Notamacropus eugenii: one gene and its partners. The protein of the gene in region 1 interacts with the protein of each later gene in a pairwise test. Links are inferred from orthologs where the notes say so. Each region holds a gene or a part of one and is shown in the gene's direction. Other genes may lie near its edges.

Region 1 (7,896 bases):
TCCTAGTAGTGGGGAAGGGGGATGGGAGAGGCCCCTTGCAGAAGGGAAGATTGGAGATGGGTCTTGAAGAGAGCCAGGGGGCATAAATGAGGAGGGACTGCATTCCAAGCAAGGGGGAAAGCTGGATAAAAGCAAGTTAGTGGGAGGTGGAATATCACATATGAGCAACAACCGGGAGACCAGTGTTGACAGAATGGTAGATTATGTAGAGGAGAATGGAGGCTAAGAAGACTGGGAAAGGTGAGCTTAATAGATGCTTGTTGACTGATCAACTTTCTGAATGGAATAATTTGTCAATGATACAAAATACCATTACGATCATAAATCTTGAAGAACAGACCATAAGGAAACATCCTAATTATTAATTAATTAAGTGTCTCTGACTGTACATATCCTGTATATACTTTCTGTGTTGGGAAATACTAGGGTGGGGTTCTGGTGGTACAAAGATGGCCAAGGAAAGGTGATTTAATGTGGATACAGTACGAATACATACTGTATTATAACACATGACAGGTCAGAATATGATAATCAGTCAATCAACCAGGTATCTATTATATACTTGGCACTGTGCTGTGTGTGATAAATGCAAACCAAAGAGAAACATATAAAATTCTCTGAGAAATTCTGGAAGGGGAAATCTCTTTGACTGAAGGGACCTGGGCAGAGTCCATGGAAGACTCTGGGTAGTCTCCCTTGCGTTGGGCCTTGAGGGGAGATAAGAGTTTTAATCCAAGGCAAAACTGTAAATTGTCACTAAAAGCAGATTGGTTAAAAATATCTTCAGCTAGATTTGAGCAGCAGATGGAGAGGAATGAATGCGAAAGAAAGAAAGAATGAGGAACTAACATTCATTAAATAATGGGTGTCATTGGTATGAACACTGCATTACAAATCATTCTGGGGAAAGGAAAGAAGGGCACGGAAATGCTGAGGGTTAGCACCGAGATTACTGCTCAGATTTTCCTTGGGAGGAGTATGATTCCGAATGGCCAAGAAAGGAAAATAGACTGGTTGAGTTACTTACTTTTCTAGCCTGTATTCTCCGCCCCAGATTATCTTTGTTAAATCTTTTTATTACTCATTGCTTAAAGCACCTATCTACATGAATGCACGCTTTGGCATTCCTTTCATTTTTCTCTCTGGGAACTGATAAAAACCAAGGTCGGTTGACCTTCAATATTATATCTGCCAGTTAGCTCCTGTTCCTAAGACTCCACTGTCAAGGCACATCTTTGGAGCCTCCAGATAGAAGGGCCACAGAGCTGGGAAAAGTAGAGATTTCCCGTTGAAACAGAGAGCTCAGTGGGCAAATGAACTGTATGTTTTACAGCAAACAGAAGTGTTTACTCACGAAGAGGGGGTACATGAGGCAATGAACTTGATATATTTCAAGTGAAAGTGGTTAAGTTTTTGGACATAAATTATTTGGAACATGACCTCAATTCTCCATTTTGCAAATATATATTTATATATTCTGGTCTTCCTGACTCCAGGTCCGGTCTTCTATCTGCTGTGCCCCTCAGCTGCCTGTGTGATGACCCACTCAAACTTCAGACCTCTCCCACTTAGGGATGAACTAATCTATTAACTACATGAGGGCATCATGTCTATGAATGGGAGGGGTGGCAATGAGGAAAAGTGAGCATTGGCATCCTGTGAACCAGGTCTTCTGAACTGCCCCAAATAGAATTCTTGGCTCTAGCAACATGTGCCCTGGGATTTGCCATGTTCTTCCAAGGTAATTATAAGGAAGAGGACAAGTTCCACCCCCATCCCCAACATGTCCATTAGTGAGATGCCTGGTGTAGTGATGGCCATTAGGTTATACTTTCTAGTGAAGCTCACCTCCAGAAAAATACAGACAAAAAGTAAAACGTGTGAAATATCTCTTTTCAGCATTTCCAACCAGATTCCATCTTAATTTGGATTCAGAAAATGCTTTTCCCTCCCCCTTCCTTGTCTTTCTTTTCCTTTCTACCTAGCTTCTTAAAAACTCTTTGATACTAATAATAGTAGAAATGCTATCCGAATAAATTTCAAACCTCCCAAATACAGCTAGGTCTTTAGTGCTGGACTTTAAAGATAACTCCCCAAAGTACCAGGTCCAGTTCTTTCAATCACACCAGCCAAGGGCTCCTTCCATAAAGCTTTACTCTCAGAAAGCATGGCACCTAATAAAAAGAGATACAAAACAAAAAGGAGGGGTGTCATGGAGCAATGGATGGAAATGGCCTCAGACACAGGAAGATATACCGACTTTGGGACTCAGGACAATTCTCTTGGCTCCTCAGAGGTCTGGCTAACTCTCAACTGCTAAGACGGTGAAGACCTGCATTGGCAGAGGAATTCCCTATCAGGGGATCCTTCTAGAACAAAAAACTCACCTAATTTGAACCTTCTGGACCAGAGTTCTTAAATTTGTGTGTCTGTTTGTGTGTGTGTGTGTGTGTGTGTGTGTGTGTGAGAGAGAGAGAGAGAGAAAGAGAGAGAGAGAGAGAGAGAGAGAGAGAGAGAGAGAGAGAGAGAGAGAGAGAGAAAACAAGAGAGAGAGAGAGAATGAGGAAACAAAGAGAGGGAGGAAGGGAGAGAGAGGTGGGTCCCTTTGGCAGTCTAGTGTAGCCTATGGACTCTTCAGAGTAAGTTTTTAAATGTTTAAAATAAAATACATAGGATTACAAAGGAAAAAAAATTTTTTAAAAAGAAAATGTATGAGATTCCTTACAATATTTCAGTCATTGTGGCTTAAAAATCCATGACTCAGTGGCAACCTCAGAGAATTTAGCTATCTGGGTCCTCAGATGAGAATCATGCAGTCTATTGTTAGGCCTGTACTTGTACCATTTCTACCTTTAGTGGACTTGCAGGAGTTGGTGGATAGTTCCTTGTCATTGTCTGTGAGAAGTCAGAGTCATCTGTGGGTCCTGATCAGACCTGGTGGGAGAACTTTTGTGGAGGATCCTCAGCAATAAGTGTTTTGAGTCCACTCCCAGTCTACTAGACTGGCTCAAATGTTTTACTGTGATGTGGAGGTGACCAGGAGTTCCCAAAGATTACAGATGCCTGAGCAGATGCTACCATTTGAAAAAGACTTTGAATGGGAGCCCAAAGGACTGAAGATACTGTGGGCCACTTACCTCCTGCCAGAGAGGGGTTGGATTTAAAATGTGTTGCTGTTCAGTTGTGTCTGACTCTTTGTGATCCCACTGGGGGTTTTCTTGGCAAAGATACTAGGATGGTTTGCCATTTTCTCCTCCTTCTCATTTTATAGATGAGGAAACCAAGACAAACAGAGTGAAATGGCTTGCCCAGGGTCGCATAGCTAGGAAGTATCTGAGGTCAGATTTGAACTTAGAGGAGTCTCCCTGACTTCAGGCCAGGCACTCTATCCATTGGGCCACAGAGTGCCCCATTTAAAATATACAATGAGCCATATCTTTTAGGACTTGGTTAACATGAGGATTTGTTTTTGCAGATTGTGTATATTTATGATAGGTTTTATTTTTCCTTTTTAACTGTCCAGTTGCGGGGTGAGGGGGACAGTGGGAAAGAAAGATATTAGCTGTATGTGAAAATAGATAAATAATTCTTTTAAAAAATTGGAGACTGTCTGTCTCTTGTATCTGAGAGCAACCTAGCTAAATCTGGAGAGCCCATCTCTGAGTTGGAGGTAGGCTGAAACATTTTTTGGTCTTTGAAACTCTCAAAGCTCACTTACTAAGTTTCAGAGGAGGTGTAATCTGTCAGAAGAGCGAATGCTCATGAACCTGCAAATGCTGGACATTTGGTACCTCCTCTTCAAGTATATTTACTATGTTTTCTAAATAGACAAATTATGTTCCATTTGAGAAAACAGAGGCTCTGATGGCTAAAATAATTTGCAGTCTAGGCAGGACTTTGCTTTGATCAAGATTCTTGACTTTCAGCCCAGGGCCCAAATCCAGACAATTCTCTCTCCTACCAAGCAGCAGCAGCAGCAGCAGCAGCAGCAGCAGCAGCAGCAGCGGACAAAACCAGCCTTGAAGTGGGTGACTCTCAGCATCTTCTAGGTCTTTTATTCTGTCTTCTATACCTGGCAAGCAAAGAGGGGACACTAGGCCCATCCCTCCCCCCCCCCCCCCCCACTCTATCTCCAGTAGAATCATCATTCAGGCTACATGTGAAGTCTCTTTCTTCTCCTCCTTCCACACCCCAGAGGGGAAATATTGCTGCTCTCTCCAGAATAAAATGCCGGCACTGTTTAGGAGACAAAGAACAATGGCTCCCTGAGTTGGGGCTCCTAAGGTCAGCTGTCATTCTTGTCTCCTGGGTTTAAGGTCCTCCTAATCCCTTCCTTCTGCCGCAGATTTAGTCTGGGGGCTTGATAAGGGGAATAGCTGCTCTTGGGACCCCTCGGCTGGTCCAGGAGTGGTTGGGGGTCAGTCCTCCCCCTTTTCCCTTTAGAGGTCAAAGGGGCTTGTGTCTTTCTTCCTTACCTGCTCTGACGCCTTGGCACGAGTTTGGTTCGGGGGTTGGGGGGGTGGGTGGGGGCACCGAGGAGAAGGGGACGTTCTGAGAATCAGCCCTGCTCTGTGCGTGTGTGCACGCGTCCATACGAGTGTGCATGGGTGTGCACTCATGTGCCTGCGTGAGCGCGCATGCAGGCACTTGTGTGCCCGCTACTCCGGCCCCGTACCTGGTGGGAGGGCTCCTGGACGACCCAAGGAGCCCCCCAGCTCCCCTGTCTAGCTCTTCTCCCCAGCCTCTGGCTGCTTGCCCGCCTCCAGCACCGAAGAATGTCTCCAAGTGTTGAGAGCCGGTTACCATGGGAACCAGCAGCCGTTCGAGTTAATCATTTCCTGTGGAAAGTGTAAGGGGGTGGGGTGGGGGGGGAGGTCAGAGACGACAGTGTGACATTCCAGCTTCGTACCGGGCGGCCGGGCGGCCACGGGGATGCCAGAGCGGGCAGTGCCCTGTAGCTCCTCCCCAGGGGGCAGGGGAGCTGCCACCCCGGAGGGACCCCGGGCTGGGCAGCGGGGACCAGGTGAGTCACTGGCCCTGATGCCTCCGCCTTTGGGGGGGAGGGGAGTGGGACGTGGGCCCCCCAGCTCCATCTGGAAGCCCACCTTCAGGCTTTTCCAGTCTCCAGCTCGGCTCCCGCTCAGCTCTCTCTTCTCACGCCGGAGGGGCTACGCCTGGGGATCCCTTTCCCTTGCCCAGTTTTGCATCCCCAGGACACCCCGCTCTGGCTGCCAGAGATCCCCCTTAGGGGATCCCGGTCCGGCACACCCGGGTGCTGGAGGGAGGTAGCTGCAGCGGCCTGAGACTGGAGGGGCTTCGGGGGGCGGGGGAAGGGATGTGCTTTGAAAACAACCCCGAGATAAGTCTCCCCTGGATTTTCCTGGCTGCAAGCTTAGGGCTGCAGTTGGGCAGAGAGGGGCGGGGCTCATTTCTGCTTTAAAGCCTTCTCTACCGAGATTCCAAGGTTTAAATTCCCTTACTGGATTGAGTCGGGCGGACTAGCCTGGTCTCTGTGTACCTTGGGGGTGGGGAGAGGTGGGGATCGATAACTGAGACCCTCCTGGGTGATCTGAGTGGAAGAGTGAGGCAGCCTGCCTCTGGGGGGTGGGGGGTGCACACCTCCAAATGAGGCTCTGATGGACTTGGAGAAATACTGGTGCTGAGCTGGGGGCTCCGCATTCTCAGCTCCCTGTCCATCCCGGGGACGCGTTGAAGAGGGGTCCCAGGCAGACGACGTGTTTCGATTTTCTTGGGCAGCTACCAGGACGGAGGCTAGTTATTAAGGTTTAAATGCAAGAGGGCCAGGTGAAGAGTCTTCTGGGAGACTGTTTTCAAAGGAGGGGATCTGTCCGTTTGGAATTTATGCAGGCAGATGCCTTGCGATCGGGGGTCTCCTTTCTGCCTAGTCCCGTCTGTCTTTTGTAAGACTGCATTTTCTCCACCATATATCTCCATCCCCTCCTTTCCACTCCCACCGAAACCACCCCAGTTTAGGCCCTTATTTCTTCTGTCTAAACTATTATAATAATCTCCTGGTTTCCATTCTTCTAATCTTCTCCAAACTGTCCCACTAATTCCACTGCCCACCTGATATGTGCCTTTGCCCATAGCAGTTTCTCTACTCAAAAAACTTCAGTGGCTATCAGAGCATAAATTCCTTACCTTGGCATTCAAAGCCTCCATAATCTGGCTCCCATCTACCCTTCCAGCATTATCTTAAATGAATGTTGTTTGATCTTTATTCATGTACTGTGTTCCAGTCCAGTTGAATTTCTCTAGGTCTCTTTATAAATTTTGTTTTCTCCCATTTCTGTTCCTTTGCTTTCCCCATCTCCCATATCTGGACTCTTCCTCCTCTCTTGCCCATCTTTGGAATTGCATTTCTTTCTTCAAGGACCTGCCCCGTGTCACCTCTTCCAGGAAACCTTCCTTACCTGGCCCTAACCAGGTGAAGGGGATCTTTTTCTGGCCTCTCCTTCACACTACACAGAATCCAAGGAGTTTAGAGATAGAGGCAGTCCACTGAGTCCACCATGTACCTGAGAATCCTTCCTGCAGCAAAAGGTCTTCCGCGACCTTTAAGGTCCAAAGATTTCTATTCGGGGAGAACCTATTCCCACCCAACCCAGCCCATCCATTCTTGGATAGTCCTAACTAGGAAGTTTTGTCCTTATATGAAGCCTAAATCTGCCTCTTTCCACACACTGTGCCCCCATTTTTGCCCTCTGGGGCCAAGTAGACCAAGCTGAATCCTTCTTTTCATAGCTGGCCTTCAGATACTTGAAAAAGAGCCATTGCTTTGCCACTGAGTCTTCCCCTTCTCTAGCCTAAACACTCCCAGTTCCTTCAGCTGATCCTTATATGGTATATATACTCAAGGTCCTCTCAGAATGCCTTCCTGATTACCAATGGCCTTACCAAAGTCTGGCACCCAGAACTGAACCCAACTCCACAAACGTGGACTAGCCAGGTCAAAGTACTTAATATACTGTAGTTTTATCACAGCTTTTCATTTCTGCAGATTTTCTTCTCATTAGATTGTAACCTCAGAAGCAGGTTACATAGTTTGTCCGTCTTTGTGGTGTCTAACACGTTGAATAATAATATCCTAATAATAATATAAACTGGCATTAATATAGCATGTTAAGGTTTTGCAAAGTGCTATACGTGATATGTTGTTTGATTCTTACCACAACCCTGTGAGGTAGGTGCTGTTATTGTAATACATTTTGCAGGTGAGGAAACAGGCACAAAAAGTGACTCGCCCAGAGTCATACATCCATACATGAGGTATTTAACTTGTAGAATTGTTTGTCAATAGTATTTTTCTAACACTCGTCTAGACCTTTTCCTTGACCAGATGGACAGAGTCAGTATATTGAAGTCCGTATTTCAGATCTCGGCTTCCTAAGACAGGAGCATTAGACCAAAGTACATTCTCTACCCTCCCCCAACCCTTCCCCCACAGCCCAGCTTATCAGTACCTTAAGCTCAAGGAGTACATACTCTTGCAACCTGCTCGTCAGTAGCTGGTCTTTTATTGTGTCCTTGAAATAGGCCAGGCTAGTGGCTCTCTGAGGCTAATTGGAAACAAGGCCGTGGGTTGGCTCTATGGCTTGGCCAGCCTACCCTGACCTCCACAGCGCCCCATCCGCATGCTGAATACAGATTGCTGCCTTGGGCTGCCTCTGATAGGAATCTCTCTAGTCCCTTCTCCTCCAACCAGATTTGGGATCCGCCTATGTTTAGGGGCACATTCACACCCATGTTGGTTAGGTTTCTGGCCCGGTACTTGTCTTAGGCTGAAAGTTGGTCCAGGACATCATTAAGCTAAAAAGGTCTAGGAAGGTTGTTGGGTAGGGGACGGTCTTGTTCTCTTGGCTCAAAACTTTGAAG
Region 2 (7,204 bases), on another chromosome or scaffold:
CGGCCTTCCTAACCTCCCGGCGCGCCGAGTGACGCCACTTCCGCCATCTTTCCGTTTAGCTTCACTCTCGCCTGCGGCCATTGACTTATATAGCCATGTTCAGTGTGGGCAGTCATATCACTTCCGGAAACGCTCCCACGTGACTGGGAGTGGGCGGTGCTAGGGAGGTGTGTGGGCGGAGCTGGTAGCTAGCTTAGCTCTTGTGGTGCTGCAGCCTTGGTCTCTGGAGCGAGGCTTGAATAGCCGCTACTTGTGGCACTTGGGTCTTTCTGGAGAGGCGCGTGTTCACGGCACCCATTCCCATCAGTTGAGCGGGGCCCTTGTCACTCTGGGTGCACTTTGCCTGGGACTGTGGTTTTCAAACTTTTTGTTAGCCACACCCCTCCTAAAATGTCTTTATTACTACTCCACCCCCTCCTTTTTATAAAATAATCAGGTAAATAATTGCCATTGTAAAGGTTTTATGAAGATAAAATTAAGGAAAAAAGAAATCAAAAAGTTAAAAATCCCTAAGTAAACACTAACACATAAAAATAAATCCCATAAAAAGCGCGTAATTGCCTCAATTCAGGTTTTATACAAATAAAATTAAGAAATCACTGCTCCACCCCACTTCTTTTCATAGAATAAGCAACAAAACAGTTCTCTGTAGGTATCTGGGGGCAAAAGAGATGGGCTTGGCCCGGGCCTTTTGTTGGTAGTCAGCTTATCCAAGATCCCCAGAGTTTTCTACCCTGAGACCGCCAGCCAGTTCCAGTTTTACGTGCAAAGAAGCTAAAGGCTTCCTAAACTCACATGATCGTAGGCAAGCTTAGACACATCCACCTCAAAGTTAACGTTTGGTCACTTTGAAAAAGGCTGCCAGGGACCCGGTCAAACGCTCACGTGGCAGTGTTGGTGGATTGGGAAGAAAGAACATAACCTATTCCTCCACCATCTTCATGAAGAATCTAGAGATAGCTTATTACTTGTCCAATGGAAGAGTTGAAGCAAAGACACTGAAGCTGTTTCTTCTTTTAACTAATATGGTATCTCACCCCCTACTTCTGTCATGGTGGCATGGAGAGAACTAAGAAACCCTTCCAAGGTCATCCAGAATACCTAGTTATTTCAGTGCCAAGTTACTCCATGACCAGAAGTAGACCCCAAAGTTCCCCACTCTGGTCAACTAGAGGGCAGCTAGATGGTTCAGATGACAGGGCACCAGGCCTAGAGTCATGGAAACCTAATTTCAAATCTAGCCTCAGATACTAACTGTGTGACTCTGGACAAGTCACTTAACCTGGTTTGCCTCAGTTTCCTCATTTGTAAAATGAGCTGGAGAAGGAAATGGCAAATCATTTACCAAAAAACCCAAACAGGGTCATAAAGGGTCAGACACAACTGAAACTGCTGTCCAACAACTTGGTCAATCAGAAAGAAGGGCAGTTCTGAGGACTGTTCATGGGATAGCTCTAATTCAAATTTCCCTAGCCCCAAGTATTTATTGATAAACTCTTTTATATTTTGTATCCTTTACTCAGATCTCTCCCTCCCCTCAACATGGGAGTCAGTTTAAATTGACTAGATTCATCAAGGTAGGAGGGCTGACCTCAGATCAAGTCAGATTTCTCTATTGGTTTGCTCCCATTTAGAAATTTCCAGCAAAGCTAAGACTTGGATCATGTTTAGGGTCGTCTCTTGGTTATCAAATGTGGAACGGTTTTTGTATGTCCTTAATAGAAACTGAATATACACAAAGGACTCAGAGTTAGACATAAATAATAAAACACTCAAATATTCTATGAGAGATGATGTTTAAATCCTTGGGAACTGGTGAAATTACCAAGTTTCTATGCAGATGACTTGCAGACCTATATATCTAGTGCCATTCATTGCCCTGATCTCTGATCTTGCATTGCCAATAGCCTATTGAACATTGCTTTTAAAAAATTATATTTCCTTTTTTTTCAACAAGTAAAATTCCATCTTCTCTCCTTCTTTGAGGATGAAAGGAAGAAAGCTGTTACAAACAAGTTGTTACATGGTACAAACATGTAAAGTCAAACAAAACACATAGCTGTATGGGCCACATCCAAAAAACCTTTGTTTTATTCTGCACTCTGAGCCCTTCATCTCTCTATCAGAAAGTGAGGAGCATACGTAATTGTTAGTACTCTGGAATTGTAGTTGGTCATCACACTGATTAGCGTCCTTAATTCTTTCAAAGCTGTGTGTCTTTACCATGTTGTTGTCATTGTATGCTTCATCTATTCCAGGAATTCTGGTTAAATTTTTTTTTGGCCTATGCTGCATTTTTCTTTGTAGTTGTTTTGAGGTAATTTTCTTCTGAGTTTGTCTTCAGCATCCCTATCACCATAAAAACTCTTCATGATGGGATTTTTGTTTGTTTATTTTTCAAGCTTCCTTTCTGACTTTAGACTTAATTTTAGGGCCAAGATCTGTACACTTTTGGAGGGAATATCTGAGCTGCTTCTACTGCTACTTTCTTGGCATATTGAAATGTTGTGTTACTTCATAATCTCAGGAACAACTCAGGCTTGGAGTTTTCAATACTCCTAAAATTGTCTGATTCAGTGCAAAGTCTGATAGCTGCCTGCTTAGTCTGACCTCTGAAACTTCCTGGTGTGGGTAGTAGTAGATTACTGCTGGACTCAGCTATTATCAGCCATCTGAGAAATGCTGCTGGTTGAGAGTAACAGAATTGTAGGCTGGCCTTAGCTCTGGAATTCCTGCCTTGGTTATTACTCTGCAAGTTTCAGGGTGGGCTAGAAGCTAGAACTGAGACCCCTTTCTCCTCCTGGGATCTGAGCCACACTGCTGCTGCTTGCTTCTCATCTCTTTATACAATGTCCAGCTTCTCACCCTCCCCAGTTACCCCTTATAACCACTTTTTTAAAAGAGGAAAAGAAAAAAATTCAGCAAAATTGACATAAAAAAATCAGATATTTTATGTAATATTCTTCACTGATCAGTTACCCCAATGCAAAGGAATGTGTGTGGGGGGGGGGAGGGGGCAAGGAAATGCCTTTTTATATGTTCTTTTTGAAGCAAGGTTGGTCTTTATGATTTTGTACCAATATGGTAATTTTCACAAACTTTTTTAGAACTGGAAGGGACCCCAAAGATCATCTCTTCTCACCCTCCCCAGTTTCATGGAGGAGAAAATTGAGTCTGGGAGGAATTAAGCAAATCAATCCAAGGGCAAAGCTGGTACTTTATTTATTTTAGCTTTTACAAAAGAATATTTTTATGAAGAAGATATCGGAGAAATAAAAGCACAAACCCCTCCAAAACCAAAAGTACACTGTTCCGGACCAGCTCAGTCGCTGAAGAGTTATTAAACATTTTCCCCACCAAGTGCACTTTACTCGCAGAATACAATGTCTTGGCTGCCAGGCCATTCCATTGTTGGGTTGAGTGAAACAGACCAACCCTTAGTGCTGGCTCCTGATGAAAGCTGGTACTTTATCTATTTTTAAAATTTATTTATTTGTTTTTAGTCTTCAACATTCACTTCTATAAACTTTTGAGTTTTGAAAGCTGTAGTTTAACAGCAGGCTCCGAGCTGGATCTGGAGGCAGAGGGCCTGGGTTCGAATTTTGCCCTTCCTTACCAGTCAGACCCTGGGCAAGGCACTCTGGACCTCACATCTTCATCCAAGAATGGGGGGTGGGAGGGAACCTCTCCATCGTCTGGGTAACTCTCCAACACCGGAGACAGGTGAGAAGGTGCGATTGCGTCGGTAGAGGGAGCTTGCTCCTCCGGGAGCTCCCAGAGCCAGCGTCAGGAGAGGTCAGTAGGTGCCAGGGCTGAACCTTGAACCCGGGACTCCCTTTCTCCAAGGACAGCTCTTCAGCGGAGGCCTCTGGGCTTGTGCTTGTTAAGGGCAGCACTTGAACGCAGGACTCAGAGGTCGGTTCTGTATTTTTACATGGTTTGAGCTAGTAAAGCTTCCCAGAACAGGTAAGGCCAAACACCTGCTTCGAGCCCAGGACACTGGCGGTGAGTCTTCTCTAGCTCCGAAGGGAGATCCTCCCTGAACCCCTCCCTCTCACGTCCCCCCCCCCCCCCCCACACACACAGCAAGGAGCCCCAGACAGCGCTTCCGAACCGCAGGGGGCGACGTGCCCGCAGGAGCGGACCATAGAGTGTAGAGGAGCTAGAGCGGCTTTGCCGGAAGCGGAGCCGGGCGGGGGCGGGATCCGGAAGTAACTTAATTTCCGGCGTGGCAGCCATCTCTCGGTGAGACAGCAGCCAGAGGACCGTTCCTGCCGCCGCCGCCGCCACCGCTGCGGGATGTTGTCTGCTGCCCCCTTCGCCGCTGCGTACCCGGGGCTCGGGACGGAGCGGGAGCTGGAGCCTCATAGCAGCGCGGGCCCCGTGCAGCGCCGCTTCTCGCCCTACGCCTTCAACGGGGGGTAAGGGCTCGCTGGGCCTCCTGGCACCGCCGCATTCCTCAGTGGAGGCCGGGCTGCGGACCCGGCGTCGCTTTCACTTTCGATTCGCTCCGGCGCCCGGATCCTGAGCCCGATCCCCTTCCCCGGGGACTTCAGGCCTGCCTTCAGCTTCCCTCTGTGCCAGTCGGCCCACTGGCCTGCGTTCATTTGCAGAAGGTCGTGCCAGGCTTTGTCTGTGGCGCCGTCTGCCCCTGCTCCCCCTAAAGAAGCAGCTTGCGCGTGTACTTGGCCGTAGTCTGTAAGCTGGCTGGGAAGTCAGGATCCCTGGATTCTAGCTTTGACGCTCTGTCCATCCCCGCCCCATCCCCCACTCTGAGCGTCTGCAGCTGTGCATTGGGGGAGCCCCTCTCCAGACCCCCATGCATGCAATCTCGTATCCTCATCAGAAGGGTCTGTGATGCTTCAAATGGGTTAGCGTGTTTTATAACAGATTTTACACGTGCTACTTTTAACGGGAAAAGGATGGAGTGAGATTGTATGGCAAGGTTGGTGTCAGCGCTTTTAAAAGAATTGCAAGAACGATAGAATTTCAGAACTGGAAAGGACCGCTTCGTTATTGTGGTGCGTATTGCACGGTGGCCTGGTGTAGAGGAAGGGCTTCAGGCCTCTGACACCTATCAGCTGGGTGGCCCTGGGCAAGTCACTTAGCCAGTGCTTTAGGGGATTTTTAAGACCATACGTTCCAGTTGGTGGAGGGAGTTTCTTCATCCGAGACTTCCTATACCAATGAAGTCACAAGTGAAGAGTCCCTCTTTCTTTAAGGCTGCTAATTATAGCACTCATTATATTGCCCTTAAATACAATCTCTTTAAATCCAATTGGAAGCTTCAAGCTCCAGTAAATGTTATGTGTCTACATGCACTCATATATTTATAACTTACATAGGGTTGATGTGAAGTCTTACAAGGATCTATTGCCATGTTGTAGATACAGGAACTGAGCAGAGATGCTAAGGATTACTATGGTCACATGTCTAATAAAAAGGGAGTCCAAATATGAAGGAAGGTTCTCTGACTCAGCACTATTGCCACTATAACTGTGATATTCTATTTAGGGCTTGTACAGTTAATATAAAACATAAATCAAAGCAGTGGCTAAGCTTTTCATCCCGACAAGTTTCTGTGTGTATATTTTTCTCATTTTGTATGTCATCAGATATATATTTTTTCAGTCAGAAAAAATGAGTGTAATTAGGTCGTTAGGATTTTGAAAATATTGTTAAGTTTTTCTTGTGTATATTTTTTGTCCTTTTCATAACTGCAGTTCATTTTTTTTTGGTAGCAACATGGTACAGTAGAATCCAATACTAAATATCAAATATATTTGAATCCAATACCAAAAACCAGACTTATTTATATTAGAGGTCAGATTGTCTTCCCTGAATAATTGTATGTTTCAAATGAGATATAAAAGGGTCATAGGATTATAGATTTAAAATCAGAAGGAATGTTAGATACCGTGTAGTTCAACTCTGTCATTTTACAGATGCAGAAAACAAGACTGAAAGAGGTTAATCACTTGTCCATGGTCACAGAGGTAATAAGTGTCAGAGGTGAAATTTGAACCCAAGGTCTTTGAGACTCCAAGTGTAGCACATTCTATCCAGTAGGCTGACAGTTCTCAAAGTTTTTGGTGTCAGGATTCCTTTATGGTCTTAATTGTGGAAACTGCCTCCTCTTCCTCTCCCTTTCCTCCCAACTTTTATTTATGTGTTTTATTTACATGCACACAAACACACCCACCCACTCCCTCCTTCCCCCCTCCCCCCCACCTCTTGTCTAAAGAAAGTGGTTTTGGGCTGGCAGATTCGCTGAAAGTGTCTTGGGTAATCCTACAGGGGTTGTTGGATCACTCTTTTGAGAACCGCTGCATTAAACACCTCTGTTTCTAGATATTCTTTATGGTGACTGATAAACCTGCCCCCTAATATCAGCATTATAAAAGGATTCCAGTGTATTTCTTAAGGTCTGATATATTAACACTTTGCCATTTGATTTTCATAACTACTGCTCTTGAAGGCTATTAATGATCACTTAATTGTCAAATCCAATGATATTTTTTCAGCCTTCTTCTCCTTCATGCCACTGTTACATTGGATATACTGCTAGTCATCTTTTCTTTAAAACTCTACCCTTGGTCTCAGTGGCATTATTCTATTCAGTTATCCTTTCTGCTTTTTGGGCTATTCTGTCTCTGCTTTGTTTCTGTTCCCTAAGTTTGGGAATACCCCCTACCCTTCAGCTCAATTATTGATCCTTTCTACTCATTCTGTGTTCTCTTTATTAAGTTCATGAGTGTTGAATTAAGCCTTATGATAACATTATACAAACTTGTGCAACAACACATCTCTAAATACCTTAACTCTCCAACTGACTTGGTAACAGCACTACACTTTGCTTACTCTGCAAAGTAACTTTGAGCCTTATATTGTGATCAATTCTGAGGTACTCTTTAGTATGACTCAGATGTTTACAAACTCAAAATCCAACTCTGTGACTGAACTTTAGGCCTGTGTCTCTATTGTTCTTGATATTTGGGCATTTGACCAAAGGTTTTCTACACTGTAAAAGGGAGTAAGGGTTAGATAGACTTTATTTAGAATTATTATACAATGAAACAAAGCATAATGCTTGGCAGATAATAACTCCTTAATAAATGCTTGTTGCCTTTCACTGATAGGTTACTTTCATGGATAGAGCACCAGTGCAGGAGTCAGGAGGACCTGAGTTCAAATCTCACCTCAG
Region 3 (7,649 bases), on another chromosome or scaffold:
GAGCAGGGGCAGGGTTTAAGGGCTGCCCCAAAGCCCACCATAAACAGTGGTCATAAGACAAAAACAATTTGCTCTCTCAGTTCCTTAACTCACTCATTTCCTATGAACTACTCCTCCACCCCACCATAGCCATATACAGAGATGGTCATACCCTTGATCTTGCCATCACTCACAAGTGTGGCACATCTTTTATTCATGAGTACTGAAATTCCTTTATCTGATCACAGTCTATAGTCATCCCCCTTCTCCTTCTTCGCAACCCCAAACCTTGTTCTTAGTTCATGCCATCACTTCCAATCTCTCAACCCTTCAGTTCTTTCTCAGGCCATCATCCCTACTCCAGCTATACTCTTTTCCCTTCCCTATCTTGACCCCTTAGTGAACCAGTTCAACTCTACTCTGTTCTCTTCCTTGGAGTCCTTAACCCTCTTTTTTTATATTTCCAATATTACTCTATGAGCCTCAGTTTTGGATCACGTCCAGCATCTGTTGCTTTTGCTCCTACTTATATGCTACAGAACAAAGGTAGAGAAAATCATGAAACCACTAACTGGGTCCATTACAAATTTATGTTGCATAACCTCAAATGTTATATAACCTCAAGTAACCTCACTGCTGTAAGTCAATCTTCTCAAATAAACTCATTATCCTACTCATGAAAGTGGTTCTTCCAACCTTTTCATCCCTCCTCAAATCTCCTATGGTTTATCAGAGTTCCTGATACATAGTAGGTGCTTAATAAATGTTTATTGACTAGTCAGTCAATGGCTAGGCAGATCTTGGCTCCCCCCCATCATCTTAGCTCAGAACCCCACCTCCTATTTTACTGAAAATATGAAGACCAGTTGCTGAGAGTTTCTTCCCTCTTCATCTCATGTCACCAAAATGCTCTCTGCCATTATCTTTTCTTTCACTTAGGCCTTATGTGATGAATGAGATGGCCCTTTTCCTTGCCAAAGCAAACTCTTCTACATGTTCAACTGGTTCTTTTCTATCCCATCTTCTCCAGCAGAATGCCCTATCATCCCCAATCTCTCAATGATCTTCTCCTACCAGCTTCCCTACTGCCTCCAAACATGACCATATCTCCCTCATCCTCAAAAAAAAAAACCCCTTAATTGATCCATCCATTCCCTGGTATAGAACTGTAACTTGATGTCTCATTCCTTTTTGTGACCTTAATGAAGCTATCAACAGTCAGCACTTCCACTTCCTTACTTGTGACTCTCTTCTGAACTATCTATCATCCAGTTTTCAAACAAATCATTCATTCAACACTGCCTTCTCCAAAGTTACTAATGATGTCTTAATGGTCAAGTGTTGGAATAGTGAAGTGACATGTGTTTTATATATAGTTCCTTGTAGAATTGTACATATAGAACCAGAATTAGAACTCAGGGCTCTGGAGTTTGTTTCCATTTTGACTATACCCTGCTAACTTCTGAAACACTTATTCGTAGAAGCAAAGAGAAAACAACACACTCCTCCTCTGTCTTCTACCCTGCTCCAACTACATGTGGAGCATGATGTTAATTTCTGGCCAGCATAGTTTGAGAAGAACACCAATCAATGAGGGAACACCCAGGGAAGGGTGGGGACAATGGTGAAGGGCCTTGCATCCAAGATATGAAAAACAGTTGAAGGAATTGGCAACATTCTGTTTAGAGAAAAGAAGACTCAAGGAGAACATGATTGTTATGTGTTTAGGCTCAGAGGTCAGAACCAGGAATCTTGCAAGGTAAACCTTGCAAAGAGGTGAATTTAGGCTCAGTGTCAGGAAAACCTTCCCAAAGTGCAATGGGGTACCCCTACTGGAGGTATCCCAACAGGGTTGGACAACCCCAGTCAAGTATGTTATAGAGGGAATTCCTCATGGGTAGGTTGCACTAGATGGTTGCTGAGATCTCTTCCCAGGGCAAATCACTTCACTCTGTTTGCCTCAGTTTCCACATCTATAAAATGAGCTGGAGAAGAAAGTGGCAAGCCACTCCAGGATGTGTGCCCAGAAAATCCCAAACAGGGTCACGAAGAGTTGAATATGACTGAAAAGCAACTGAACAACAACACCGGCCTCAAGGATTCTATATTCTGATGAGGAAGACATGTACATCAACACTGTAAGTATATGTTTATTACATACAAAGTAGATGGAAATAACTTTATTGAGGAAGCATTGGGGACTGGGAAAGGCCTCTTGTAAAAGGCATCTGACCATGAACCAGAAAGTTTTTACAGTTTTGCCAAGAGGTGTTCAAGCTTTTCTCTGTGTTTGGTTTCCTTGTAAGGATTTGGTGTGACCCAAGTAGAGACATTGAGAGGTCAATGAAGTCTGCAGTACATTCCTAGTACATGGGGTACCAAAAATGGCCCCCCAGCCTTTAACTCTGTGTTTGTGGATGTTTGGGCCAAATCCCCATTTGCCTGTTTCTTTCTTCTTTGGAGACTGGGATAATGGAGAAGGCATAGAAGCACGAGAGATTGAATCTATTGCTTGGCTGGAAGATCCTCTGAAAGAAGCCTACTTCCTCATTCTGGCCTGAGCTCCCAGGAGCCCTAAAAGGAACAAGTGCTGTGAGGATGCTTGAATTCATAGTCAGCCAGCAAGAGGATAGAGCTCTGCTCAGGAATCTTGGAGGGCAGAGAACACACAGGAGAGATGGAAAGCTCTCCTATTCCTAGAAGCTGAAAGATCAGGCAACAAAATAGCCCCAGAAAATGGAGAGGCCTTGAAAAGACACTACATGAAAACTACCTGTTGCCCATTGGGGGTTGGGTTAGCTGGACCCTGTGGTGATGGATGAGGAAGAAAGTGAGTGTTGGCACTCGTACGGGGGTCAAGGAACTCTGGTGGGACAGAGCAATGTTAGCCAGGAGGTCCTGGAGCTGGTCAGTCAATGCTGAAAGTGCATGTATGCACCCAGGAATGTGCTAAGTGTTGGTGATAACATAGAAAAGGCAAAAATACTGTCTCTGTCTTCAAGGATCTCAATTTGAATGGGGGAGACTACATGCAAATAACTTTGCATTTAAAATATACCAAGTAGAGGGGAAGGAATCTCCTGGGGGAAGGTACTGGCAGTGAGAGAAGTAAAAAGTTGAATTGAGTCTTGGAGGAGGCCAGGAAAGGTAAGAGGCAGAGATTGGGGGTAGACTGTTGAAGAAATGGGGGATGGCCAGTCAAAAGACCATCTTCCATGGAGTTGGGAGGTGGCATTTCATGTGCATGGAATAGTCAGGAGGCTGGTGTAGCTGGATCAATGCATGGAGGTGAAAAAGATTGGAAAGGTGGGAGGAGGCCACAGTTGGAAGGGCTTTAAATTGTAGATAGAAGACTTTGTCTATGCAACTATGACCCAGGGAACCTTGAATATCCCTACAACAATTCTTGGGAAGCTGTGAAGTCAGACCTGTACTATCCTTGGGATGCTGAAGAGGGAGGAAATCGAGTCCAGACTGGGAGGATTTTTTTTTCCCCTTTGCCTTGGAGAATCAGAGTTTGTAGGTGAGTGGATTGGCACATTTTATGATATGTGCTCATTGTTTCTTGGATGTTGACCACACTTTTTACCAATGTAATTAAACTGTTTAACCATGGCCTTGAGGTCTGAGTGACTGAAAGATGCTGTCTTTGGAAAGCACAGGTGTGGCATTGAGTAAGAATCAGGATTGAGGTGAGAAGTCCACTCCTAACAGTAAAGGATAGAGTGTTGGGTGATGGACAAAGGACTCATCCCAAGTACTGTGGTAGATGGGGAACGGCTGGTCACCGATTTAGGCTTAGATAGATTTAGATCTGGAAGGGACCTCAGAGGCAATCTATTTCAACTGCCTCCACATTCTTCTCCATTTTACAGGAAACTGAGACCCAAGGAGGTAGAGTGACTTGCATAAGTAGTGCCGGGTGGTATTTGAACTTGGGGGTGGCGGGGAGAGGTCCTCTGAGCCAGGGATCTTGGCTGTTATCAGCCTGTATTGGACACCTGTTACACCAGAATATCTAGCTGCACCTGCCCAGTTGTACCCATGGTAACAGCTCGGTTGGTTTCATGGTGGAAGACAGCGATTGCCCTTGTGTGACTCCGCTCCTTGTCCACCAGCTCGGCCCCGGGCCAACAGTCCACTCAGTACCATTCTCCCTTTGTGAAAAGATAACGACGGGGCTGGGTTGGGTTTCCTGCCATTCTTTGCCCCTGTCTGCGCAGTCCTTGATTTCTGTTTTGCTCCGGGGTGGTTTGCGTAGAGCGCCTTCGTCTGTGGACGTGGGTGGCCCTGGAGAGCTGGCCTTTCCTTGGGCAGACAACAAGTGTCGCCGGCTGTTGTGGTTGGTCTGTTTGCGTTGGGAACAGGCGGGGCGGCTGGGGATCAGGAGGAGGGAACGACAGAGTGGGGGGGGCGGGGGTGGATGGGGGGGACGGTGGAACAGGAAGGAGTTTGCACACATTTCTGCCTCCGTCCGCATTTCGCACGCTGCCGAGGCTGTCCAGGACTGTGTCTTTCCAAAGCCTGCAGAGGCGCGCGCGCGCACGCACGCTCTCCTCCGCCCTCCCCCGGGCCGGGGCGCGCGCACAGACACCCGCACGCTCCCTCTCCCTCCACCCGGCTCAGTGGGTCTCTTCTTTCAAGATGACAGGACGGAGGAGGCCAGGCTGCTGGAATCAGCTGGTACGTAGGGGAGCGCCCTGGCCGGCCGGGCCTGAGCCCGCGGCTGCCCGCCGCTCTCAGTCGCTGGGTCCCTGCCCAGCTGCCGGGCTGCTCTCGGCGCTTTGCGGCGGCTCTGCGCTGCCCGGCTGCTCTCCGCGCCCTGGCTCGCCCTGGGCTGGCGGAGCGCTCCCGCTCCTGCTCTGGCTCCTGGCAGGGAAGGAAGCGAGCTAGGGGCGCCCGGGGAATGGGCAAAGGGGGGAAGGCAAGGAGAGGCGCTGGAGCGCCTGCAGGTGAGCCCCGTGGGTGGGCGGCCGGCCGGCCGGCTGGGAAGGCGCTCTGGCCCGCCTGGAGACAGGGGCACCCTTGCCCAACTTCGCCCCGATGGGCGGCGGCGGCGGCGGCGGGAGCTTTGGCCGTGGCGGCAGCCGGGCGAGTCAGAGGGAAGGGTAGGGAAGGAGGCCAGCGTGCGCCCGGCGTGCCCGCTTGTGCCCGGCTCCTGCTTCCATTCCTTAGGGTGGCCAACGCGGCCGGCAGAGGGCACGCCCCCTCGGGGCTTGCTTGGGCGCGTTCGCCTTGACGTTCCCCCCTCACTCTTCCGCCTAGTCCTACCCCGCACCTTGTCCTGCCGGCCGCTCTGCCTGTCCTGCCGTCCCGGCCCTGCCCTGCCCTGCCCATCCCAGCATCAGGCGATGGCGCACTGGCTGGGGGAGGAAGGGGGGGTTAGGGGGGCGGCCCGGGGAAGGGGGGCGCTCTGTGGCTGGCCAGGAAGGGGACCTTGAAGATGGCAGGGTGGAAGGGGGGGCGGGAGTGGCTGGGCCTGGCCCTTTGGGCCTGGCCACTTGAGCCCTTCCTTCTCTATTTCCCGCGGATGGCCCTCTGTGAGACTGAAGTTTTTGCTCTTCCACTCACCCAGAGTTTTCCCCTCTCCACCTAGCCCATTTATCCTTTCCCTCCCATTCTACCTTCTCTTTTCAGTGTCTTTCCTTGGTTCATGTGTGGATGGGTGTATTTGTGAGGAGGAAGGTGTGTGTGTTGGGGGGGTGGGGGGAAGATCTATATGAAAGCAGTGGGATTATGTATGTATGTATGTATGTATGCATGCATGCATGCATGCATGCATTCTATTGGCTCTTATTCCAATGGTGACCCAGCTGAGCTGAGAAGACTACCTATTCCACCTTTTCCTCTACCCAGTGTTCCCCTATGGAGGAGGGGTGACTGGCCCAGGGAGGGTTCTTTTATGGCTTTGTCCCTCTGCCGGGGGCTGAGTGTGGGTAGGGGTGAGGGGGGGGTAGGAGCAGTGTCTTTCCTGCAGCTGGTGATTTCAGCCTTCAAGCTTCCTTTCCCTCTCCCACCCTAAGCCTCTGCTGCCCGATTCCTTAGCAAATTTTCAAAGGGGATCAGCAGTTATTGGCTCCTCCATGACTCACAGGCTGACCAATTAGTTTATTAGAAAAATATGATGTAAAGTGCCCCCGATTTGTTACCTGGAGTCTGTTTTCCAGGTTGTCATTCAGGTCTGAAAGGTGAGAAAATAAGAGATTTCATCCCAGTTGGGATGCCATTTTTGCTTTGTGACCTCGGGGCAGTTGTTGAGACCTTTCTTTTCTAGGATACCCATTTATATAGTGGGATAATCATTTTTGCCCCAATATTGTGAAATTTAACTTTATTCTTGAAGAAACAGTCTGCTTCAAAGGACAGAAAATTGGGTTTCCACTCAGGATCCTTAATCTCAAACTGAAAGGGGCCTCAGGGCTCATCTCCAATATCCCTTTCATTTTACAACTGAGACCCAAATCGATGAAGTGACTTGCTCAAGGTCTTAAATAGCATCACAGGTATGATTTGAATATAAGTATTCTGACTCCAGAATTAGTGTATCGATTCCTTCACAAGATGGAGGACCTGGGATTAAATTCTTACTCTAATGCTTTATTACCTGTGTGACCTTGGTCCAGTCCCTTCCCCTGCCTAGGTTTCAGTTTCTCCCTCTGTAAAATGAGGCATTTGAACTCAACAGCCTCTGAGGTCGTTCCATGTTTGGACTCTTCCACTCACCCAGAGTTTTCCCCTCTCCACCTAGCCCATTGATCCTTTCCCTCCCATTCTACTCTTCTTTTGAGTGTCTTTCCTTGGTTTGTGTGTGGATGGGTGTATTTGTGAGGTGGAAGGTGTGTGTGTTGGGGGAGGGAGGAAGAGATCGGTATGAAAGCTGTGTGATTATGTATATATGTATGAATGCATAGTTCCAAGGACTCTCTGGGTCACCTTGGACAGGTCACTTCATCTTCCCTGGGCCTCAGCTTCCTCCTCTGTAAAATGAGAGGGTTACACTTGTTGGCCTCTGAGGTCCCTCGCAGCCTCTGGAGCTAGAACTCTGAGTCCAGAGCCAGTTCTGTACATAGGGAAAGAAAGCTGGTTATATAATGAGTAAAGCCGGGACATTGGCAAGATAAAAACCTTCACTTGCTGTTATTGGTCTTCTAGATGCCAAATTTACTCGTTACCTTGTTTTTGTTACAAGCCTGATTTTCTTCAAGCTAACAGAAGGGGTGGGGGGAAGCAGGACTCAGGAACCTTAGGATTCATTCTGGTGAATGCTAATCAGTTTCAGTCATAGCCTAAATGATTTTAAGGTGCTCTACCATGGCTTATCTGAGTCAGTCATTTGGAAATAGAGCCTCACCCATTTTGAACCTATGTGGGGGCAGCTACCTCATTTGTATTGGAAAGCAACATAAGTAGTTTTTGGCATGCACATTTTAGGCATCTTTAGCATGTCGTTATAATGAGTCACAACATTTATTGAGCCTCAAACTGATCCATCTGCTGCCACGGTCTTGGGGTTTGTTGGTGTTGGGGTGGAGTGGGTATTTGTCTTATCTACTCTGGACAGCAGAGGCTGGGAATGGGAAAGGGAGAGGACAGTGGCTCTTGTAGTTAGTTGTTCTTCTGGCTGGGTTCCTCATATAAGTCTTGCCTCGGGCCTATGTATCACACGAGTC

The links.
Region 2: the proteins of KIFC3 (region 1) and PSMB1 interact in binary tests that used the Homo sapiens proteins (3 or more experiments, as listed by UniProt). The two-hybrid records come from large-scale screens. The link is inferred for Notamacropus eugenii from reciprocal best matches to the Homo sapiens genes KIFC3 and PSMB1.
Region 3: the proteins of KIFC3 (region 1) and MID2 interact in binary tests that used the Homo sapiens proteins (3 or more experiments, as listed by UniProt). The two-hybrid records come from large-scale screens. The link is inferred for Notamacropus eugenii from reciprocal best matches to the Homo sapiens genes KIFC3 and MID2.

Annotation. Positions count from the first base shown.
Region 1 is NC_092872.1:716,303,777-716,311,672, forward strand, and holds the start of KIFC3 (kinesin-like protein KIFC3), read left to right. Parts: upstream 1-4,884; 5' UTR 4,885-5,023; intron 5,024-5,619; exon of another isoform or gene 5,620-5,772; intron 5,773-7,896. Other genes in the region: uncharacterized protein, read right to left, coding at 2,103-2,174, 3,962-4,072, 4,476-4,806. UniProt on the Homo sapiens protein: Minus-end microtubule-dependent motor protein. Involved in apically targeted transport. Required for zonula adherens maintenance.
Region 2 is NC_092873.1:267,358,222-267,365,425, reverse strand, and holds the start of PSMB1 (proteasome subunit beta type-1), read left to right. Parts: upstream 1-4,110; 5' UTR 4,111-4,299; coding exon 4,300-4,421; intron 4,422-7,204. UniProt on the Homo sapiens protein: Non-catalytic component of the 20S core proteasome complex involved in the proteolytic degradation of most intracellular proteins. This complex plays numerous essential roles within the cell by associating with different regulatory particles.
Region 3 is NC_092879.1:28,910,102-28,917,750, forward strand, and holds the start of MID2 (probable E3 ubiquitin-protein ligase MID2), read left to right. Parts: upstream 1-4,555; 5' UTR 4,556-4,662; intron 4,663-7,649. UniProt on the Homo sapiens protein: E3 ubiquitin ligase that plays a role in microtubule stabilization. Mediates the 'Lys-48'-linked polyubiquitination of LRRK2 to drive its localization to microtubules and its proteasomal degradation in neurons.